2 linked regions of the Sus scrofa genome follow. The protein of the gene in region 1 purifies or fractionates together with the protein of each later gene. This does not show direct contact. Links are inferred from orthologs where the notes say so. Each region holds a gene or a part of one and is shown in the gene's direction. Other genes may lie near its edges.

Region 1 (3,822 bases):
GGGAACTGAAAAAGGGAAGAAAGGCAGATAACAAAAGATGTATTAAGCTGGCCATCTCAAGGAGAACCTGATCCTTTTGGGAAACTCTAGGAAATGGAATGGAATCTGTGGTCCAGAATCATCCTTCCCAGTAACACAGCAAGTGGCAAGGGAATGGGGGAATTTATATACCAATACCATAGAGTCTTTGTTTGACTGCTTCCTGGGACACAATATTATTTACTGGCATTTCCAGCCTGATGCTAGTGAACAAAGCCGCCTTCTGCAGTTGCAGGGAGGGGTAGAAAGCCCTTAGACTCAGAGAGGCAAATCCTGTCCATTGGAAGTTGTCTGTTTAGAACCTACAGAAATGCTGAAGTTCAGGGAATATGGGTGGAAGCCTATTAGTCTATGTTAAGAATTACATGACCCCAGAAGAGGCTCCCAGTGTTGTGTTAATAGCTATGCATATGTTTTATATGCCTGGGTTTTAGAGATAATTTACAGTTTTCAAAATTATGCCATTTGAGACTCTTCTTATATTTAGGTGTTCCAAGAGAAACTCAGGAAGAGAAAGAGATAGCTGATTTTGATATCTTTGATGACCCTGAATCACCATTTTCAACCTTCAACTTCCAATATCCAAATCAAGCGTTCAAAAGACTGCATGATCTGATGTATTTCAATACCCTGAACAACATTGATGTAAGTATCTTCTATGATCGTTGACGATGTCAGACTCTTTCATACCACATGGACATAGCAAAACCTCTTTTTAGTTAATTAAAAATAAGGTTTATGAATACCACCCCCCCAACTGTACCATTTTCTTTTTTATGAGCTATTGGTGAGCCTTGTAAAGTTAACAAATAAGAGTGCCAAGGCCTCCAAATTGGCAGAGCTCACCTGTTATACTCTCATTTGATTGACGGCTTGGTTAACTCTCAGCTTCTTTCCCAAAATATCTCGTGTATTTATCCCATATTAAAATAAAATAGGAATAGGAAAAAAGTGATAAAAAGAAAATGAGTGTAACCAAAAGTGTAGTTATCTGCAAAAATAGCACGAACTTTAATGGATACACTCATGCTTTTAAATGTCTTTATTTTTTTAGATCTTGGCAGTGTTGCTCAAAGTGGCAGCCTCTCTTCTCCATTTTTAGCCCTGGAGATACCAAGTATGTTTTGCTTCAGAACCGTTAGAAACAAGTCATTCTCTTCAGTATTAGTTCCTCACAAGTGTGTCTGCTGCTAAGATTCTGTCTCTGTGTAAAATTCTTTAGCTGCTAATGCACCATTTGAGACCACTGTTGTGTAACTAGAACCATGATGGCTTGTGATGCCACCTCACAGATCTGACAAATGATGATCAGTTTTAAAAGCCCAAGTTCATTAGCCTGATTGGATTTCGCACATTAGGAAACAAAGAGTACAAGCAAAAGAAAGGAAGAGTAAATGGAGAGGGAAGGGCCTCATACCTCATTTGCCAGTCTTTTTGGAGACTGTATGAATAGACCAAAATAAGGTACAGGTGTGGACGGGTGTTCTGGGCATGTGAGATTTAATTAGATTTTGTGAGCTCATAGAATTCTGGCACATTTAGTGTGCTTGTTTGTCTATTTTGGCCTGAGGCTAGTAACAATCAATTGTGTGCAGTTATAACGGTTCCACCATCATATGTTTATTAAGCAATATCTTTAATTTTTGTTAACATATGAACTTTTCCCCAGTAAGCTTCAGGTCCTGCAACTCTAAAGTGTCTCTTGTCAGCCTTCACTTGTGAATAATACATGATAATTTATGTAAAACATGCTTAGCAAAATTAATAGCATATGTCATTTTCCAAGTAGATTTATTCCTTTACTTTGTTATTATTCAGTGAACATCTGAAATCCATATGTTACATTGTTTCTATGGCAATGATGAAAATTTAAAGAATATTAAGAGAAAATTGGTGTTTTAATCTATGATTGATAGGGAGCAAGCAGACGTTCTCAGAATGGAGTTGTGTTTTATAAAACCTCATGCTATTAAAACAGAAAAGAAGTGAGGAGTAATTTAGGAGTAATTTTTCAGTGTAGAGCCAATAAACTCAGAACTATGCTGTGTATTCCTTGGGATGAAATGTATTAAGCTTGATCAGTTCTCCTCAAATGGAAAAAAATAGATGGTAAGAATATATAAATACCCTATTGGACTTGGGAAAATAAAAGGATCACATACAAACACACACATGCACGTGTATCTGTATATATAGAAATATATACACAGCTACATTTTTTTCATTGTTTTCAGTTCTGGTTTATATAAAATCTGCTAAGTTATTATGGATATGGTTATATGTGTGTGTGTGTGTGTGTGTGTATGTATATGGTTCTATTTATATATTTTATACACATTCTTAAAAGTAGTTTTTTTGATGCATGATGAAAAAGTTAAAGCTTGAACAAAACCAGACTGAATTCCAGAATAACTGTCCAGACTTAGAATTCATCAGATGTAGATTTTTCACCAGCCATTTAATTAAGCAGGTTTCGATTGCTTCTAAGAACTTTTTCTGGTATGGTATGTAGAAGCAAGGTCATGGACTTTATGCTTAGCTCTTAGATGGGCTACTTGTGTGACCTTGAATAAGCTACTTGAACTTTCTGAGCCTCAGTCTCCATTTCAGGAGTAACCGCATCTGCCATAGTGGCAGTAGTGAATCGTGAATCAGGTGATGTGTGAACAGTGCCCTGCAAACAGAAGCTGTTTAATAAATGGGATCCATACCTATGTGTGTCTGTATCCTGTACCATGATGAATACACCTGAAGACCTTTGCAAATGGCCAGAAATAAGACTACAGACTGGAGTTCCCATTGTGCCTCAATGAACCCGACTAGTGTCCATGAGGATGCAGGTTCAATCCCTGGCCACACTCAGTGGGTTAAGGATCCAGCATTGCTGCGAGCTACAGTGTAGGTCTCAGATGTGGCTCAGATCTGGTACTGCTGTGGCTTAGATGTAGATGGCAGTTGCAGCTCTGATTTGACCCCTAGCCTGGGAACTTCCATGTGCCTTGGGTTCAGCCCTAAAAAGCAAAAAGAAAAAAAAGAAAGAAGGAAAGAAAGAAGGAAGGAAGGAAATAAAGGAAGGAAGGAAGGAAGGAAGGAAATAAAAGAAGGAAGGAAGGAGGAAGTAAAGAAAGAAGAAAGAAAGAAGAAAGAGAAAATGTAAACTCTTCTAATTCAGATGTCTGACTACCAATCCCATGGAGACAGTTTCAACTTTGCGGCCACAACACCGTGACTTAAGGGAGATTTTCATTTTTGATTCACCTTCTGAGTTAAATCTTTACTCTGAAAAGGCCAATCTGTCTCTTCAGCCTTGTGCTTCTGTTGCTTCATAGTGGGCCTGCTTTGCTGGAGCTAAATGCCAGGTCATCTTTAGAGAACTTCTGTTTCTGCTCACTTCTTGACAGCAGGCTGGCTTTCTCATTAGCTCCAGGTTTCTGCACTTACTCAGTCCTCCCAAATTCCTTTTTGCTGAACAGTGCCCAAGTGCTTTAACAGTGGCAGCATTTCATGGGAGTTTTTGGTCCTTTTTATTTATTTATTTATTTTGAAAGAAGCCTAAGATATAGTGACTTATACTGGTAGACATGCAGTATGTGGAAAATGTAAAGGCTTTGGAGTCAGACCAAATTGAGGGCTCAGATTTTTGTCTGTGCCTCCTCACTGAGTGACTTTGGGCGTGTTGGTTAACTTTTACAAAGTCTACTTTCCTCATTGTTTGGCTTTTGTTTGATTTTGGCCATGCCTACAGCATGTGGAAGTTCCTTGGCCAGGGATCAAACCTGTACC
Region 2 (3,922 bases), on another chromosome or scaffold:
ATATGTCAGCAGCAGAAACCAGGCTGAAACCACGTCTCTGGTTCCTGTATCAACCCTTCAGGGGAAGATGCCAGACTTTCCTTCAACCTCTGTTCAAAACCTATTCTTATCTTTTTTTTTTCCCACGGTATATATTACAGTCTCTATTCAAGTTCATCTGTTTCTTATCCTGGAGTGATTTTAGGTGCTGTTAACTAAAGCTACTCTGTTCTGGCCAAAGCCTGCCTTCCAATTAAGCAAAATTCAGTGGGCTCCTGTTGGGTACCAAGTGTATGTCTTGATTAGACACATGTCCTCAGATTATTATACCTGAATATAACAATCTGACATCTCCTTTATCTTTTTATTTAATTAATTTATTTATTTAGGCCGCATCCCTGGCATATGGAAGCCCCCAGGCCAGGGATCAAACCCAAACTGCAGTAGTGGCAATGCCAGATCCTTAACCCACTGCACCACAAAAGAACTCCTTTCTTTAACTATTCACAATGAAAAGCTCTTGCTCTCCCACTGCACCCCAGACGGTGAGAGTAGGTCTTTTGTCTAGTGCTGCCAAGGATATATCAGATCCCCAAAGGAATTAGGATGGATATACTATTACCTGTTCTTTTTCAAGAAAGTAGATAATGGGCTTTGGGTAGCTTTATTTGAGGAGGGCAACTGCAACTCACTACCAAAGATGCAGATGTTTGTTAGAATCTATAGCAAGTTCAGAACTTTTAGTAAAGAATACATACTCAGCATATGAAAGTCATTTGTAAGCAGATTTCTTAAGCATAGACTTAAACTAAACTAAGTTACTTAATTCAGCTTTTGGAGAATTGAAGTTTTCGTATTAACCAAGCTTGACTGTGCGAGTTGTTGGTATTCAGCTATATCTGAGTCCCATTTACCGGTGCCAAGAGAAATGATGAAACATCTCTCAGTAGGAGCTTTGTCAGTTAAAAAGAGGGGCACTGATCTTGCTTTTCCAAATGATTAGAATTTTTATTCTTCATTGGGTGATTTGTGCAGTTAACAGGCAACTAGATCAATCCCTCCTTCAGAGCAGCAGTACCTAAAGTGCCTATTTCCATCAGCAGGAGACCCCAAACCTGGGATGAATTGGTCCTGATGTATTCATTGAATTTTACAGTTAAAAAGGATGGACTGGATGAGCAAATTGCCCTCTTCCAATCATTCTCAAAAGACTGGTAAATCATGTGGTTTAAAAGTTAATGTAGGAGTTCCCGCTGTGGTGCAATGGGATAAGCTGCATCTTGGGAGCTCTGGGATGTAGGTTCGTTCCTGGGCTTGGCACAGTAGGTTAAGGATCTGGTGTTGCCACAGCTGTGGCTTAGGTGGCAGCTATAGCTCAGATCTGATCCCTGGCCTGGGAACTCCATATACCACAGGGCAGCCAAAAAAGGGGGAAAAAATGTAAATTCTGTCGCTTCACATCCTTTAATAGGTTTCAACAGACCTCACGAAAATGCCGTCTCAAATGGAACATGCCATGGAAACCATGATGTTCACATTTCACAAATTTGCTGGGGATAAAGGCTACCTAACAAAGGAGGACCTGAGAGTACTCATGGAAAAGGAGTTCCCGGGATTTTTGGAAGTAAGTATTGAAAGGCTCAGAGAGAACCAGACATAGAAATCAGTGCTTCTGGGCCCTGGTTCCTGTCCCTTCCTCTTTCCAGCCCTTCCCGGGGGAAGTCAGTGCTAGAAAGGTGTTTTCATTCATTTATTGATTAAATATACTGAGTGCCTACTGTTTGTAAGACAGTGGGGTTGGAAACAGAAAGTAAAGAAGACACTGCCTCTGCCCTCAAGGAGCTTTCAGTTTGGAGGTGAAATGAGACTACACACAAATCACCACAGTTTGAGGTGTTAGAGCGACTTTATCTGGAGTCATCTGCCTCCATAGAGACAGAGTTGCAGGAAAAAAGGCCTTGCACCAGGGAGTAATCAACCAGGGTGCCTGGCTGTCCTCAGGCTGTCCTTTGAGCAGCTTGAATCTCCTTTCTTAAATCCCTTCAGATAAAGGCTTTAAAATTCTTTTTTCGAGCTCTACTATAAGGGAATGGTGTGAAATTTACTAAATGAGAGCCAGGCATTGCTCAAGAAATAACTGCTTTTCCCACTGAAAAGGCTGTGTGAACATAGGAGAACAGTTTGGGTTTATGCCTCACCTCTGACAGCCTGAGAGGGATCAGTGAAGGAAGAGGATCTCCCATCAGCTCAGATACATCATTCAGGACATCAGGCCACAAAGCACAGTAGTTCTTTTATACTGCAGGCCCTGGAGAGATGGTTACTGCATTTCACTGAAAGTGAAACATTGCCTAACAAAATAGTAGATTGAAATGCAAGCCCTTCTCTCGCTGCCACAGTCAGAGGTGCTTGAAGCATCACTGTGCTTGGTGTGGAATATTGCATTACCTCTAAAGGGTGGAGGGAGGTGATGGTTAAAGGCAGGGTCCTTTCTCTTGTCATCTGCCTGGTAAATGGCATTAGTCAAGCCTCTGACTCCTGACTCAGTAAACATAGGGTTTTGTAGTACATAATGATTCGCATGTCATCAGTACCAGTCAAACAGATATAAATAGCTTAACTAGCTTCTCAGAGCTGCAGTTACCACAATGCTCTCCCAGAATGAGTTCGAGGATACTGTTGCTCTGCTTTTGTTGAGTTCTGTGATATAGCCCCAGACCAGGAATTAGATGATCTGGCTCTGCCCGAACTAATATCAGGCAGGTTGCTTCAGTTTTCTGGGCCTCAGTTCCCTCCTCTGTAAAATGAGAGGGCTGGACGTGATTACCTCCAAGATCACTTTCACGTTCTGTGACCCTTCCAGGCAGGCATTAAATTCAAGGACAAAATGTGCTTATTGTAAAGCTTCCCACCACACAAACAAAGGCACTCTGGGTCTATTCCTAAATACTCAGGAGTTAGAAGCCAGGATGACCATCACATGAGACAAAGACCCTTCCTCCTAAAGGCTCTGTGGCTTGATAAATTCAAGTGTTCAGCAATGAGTACTAAACATGGCAGTTTAATTTATTCAAGGATGGGGTCATAATTCCAGGCACATCCACACTCGCTGCATTGACAGAGCATTATGTCATCCAGATTTCACTCCTTCTGATCTCAGCCAGGAAACTGGGGTCGAGGCCAGAATTAACTGAAACCCACCAAAAGCAGAGGCAGCTGTATAGACAGGTTGGAGTTGATTTCTTAGGGCATGTGGGAAATGCTGCTGCTTCACCTTAAGGGATTTCTGAGTGCAGTTTATAAACATCCAGCACACTGGAGACACTGAGTGTCTATTCCCTCCCTCACATATACGAGTCCGTGGAATTCATAAATACTTTACCTGAGCCCTTTAACACCGGTAAAGGGCCATATCTCCTTCTGGTTGACGGCATGGACCCTGCAGGAGAAACCACCCTTTCCCACTTCTAAGCACCATCACTACAGAAAGGAGCGATCAAGTCAATCACAATGAAAGCAGGATAAAAGAAAAAACAAAGGGGATCTTGCCTGTCCATCCCAGTTCCATGCACTGGCATTAAGAGTCATGGGGAGTTTAGGATTCCATTACATATATTGCTTTTGAAGTACATTCAATGTAAAAACATCCAGCAAAGAGTACAGGATGGCATAGACGGGCCAACGCATTAAGAATAGAAGCAATCTTAGAGACACTCTGGTCCTACTTCAATTCTTAGCTGTTATACAAAGGCCCACCAAAGCTATGTGACTTACTTAAGGTCACCTGGCTAATGTGATGTGAAGCCACACTAGGTTGGCCTCAGATGTGCCAAGAAATGAGGACCATCTGCCTACCCTCTTTAAACCTAACACGCCCCATGGTATCACAAGTGCCTCTTTAAAACCCATAGAACAATGATCTAAAACTTAACTCTCTAAATAA

What was found.
Region 2: the proteins of PLA2G4A (region 1) and S100A10 purify together in Homo sapiens (affinity purification with western blotting; 3 studies listed by BioGRID). This does not show direct contact. The link is inferred for Sus scrofa from reciprocal best matches to the Homo sapiens genes PLA2G4A and S100A10.

What each region holds. Positions count from the first base shown.
Region 1 is NC_010451.4:128,154,073-128,157,894, forward strand, and holds part of PLA2G4A (cytosolic phospholipase A2), read left to right. Parts: intron 1-526; coding exon 527-684; intron 685-3,822. UniProt on the Homo sapiens protein: Has primarily calcium-dependent phospholipase and lysophospholipase activities, with a major role in membrane lipid remodeling and biosynthesis of lipid mediators of the inflammatory response.
Region 2 is NC_010446.5:97,267,630-97,271,551, forward strand, and holds the start of S100A10 (protein S100-A10), read left to right. Parts: upstream 1-1,450; 5' UTR 1,451-1,471; coding exon 1,472-1,603; intron 1,604-3,922. UniProt on the Homo sapiens protein: Because S100A10 induces the dimerization of ANXA2/p36, it may function as a regulator of protein phosphorylation in that the ANXA2 monomer is the preferred target (in vitro) of tyrosine-specific kinase.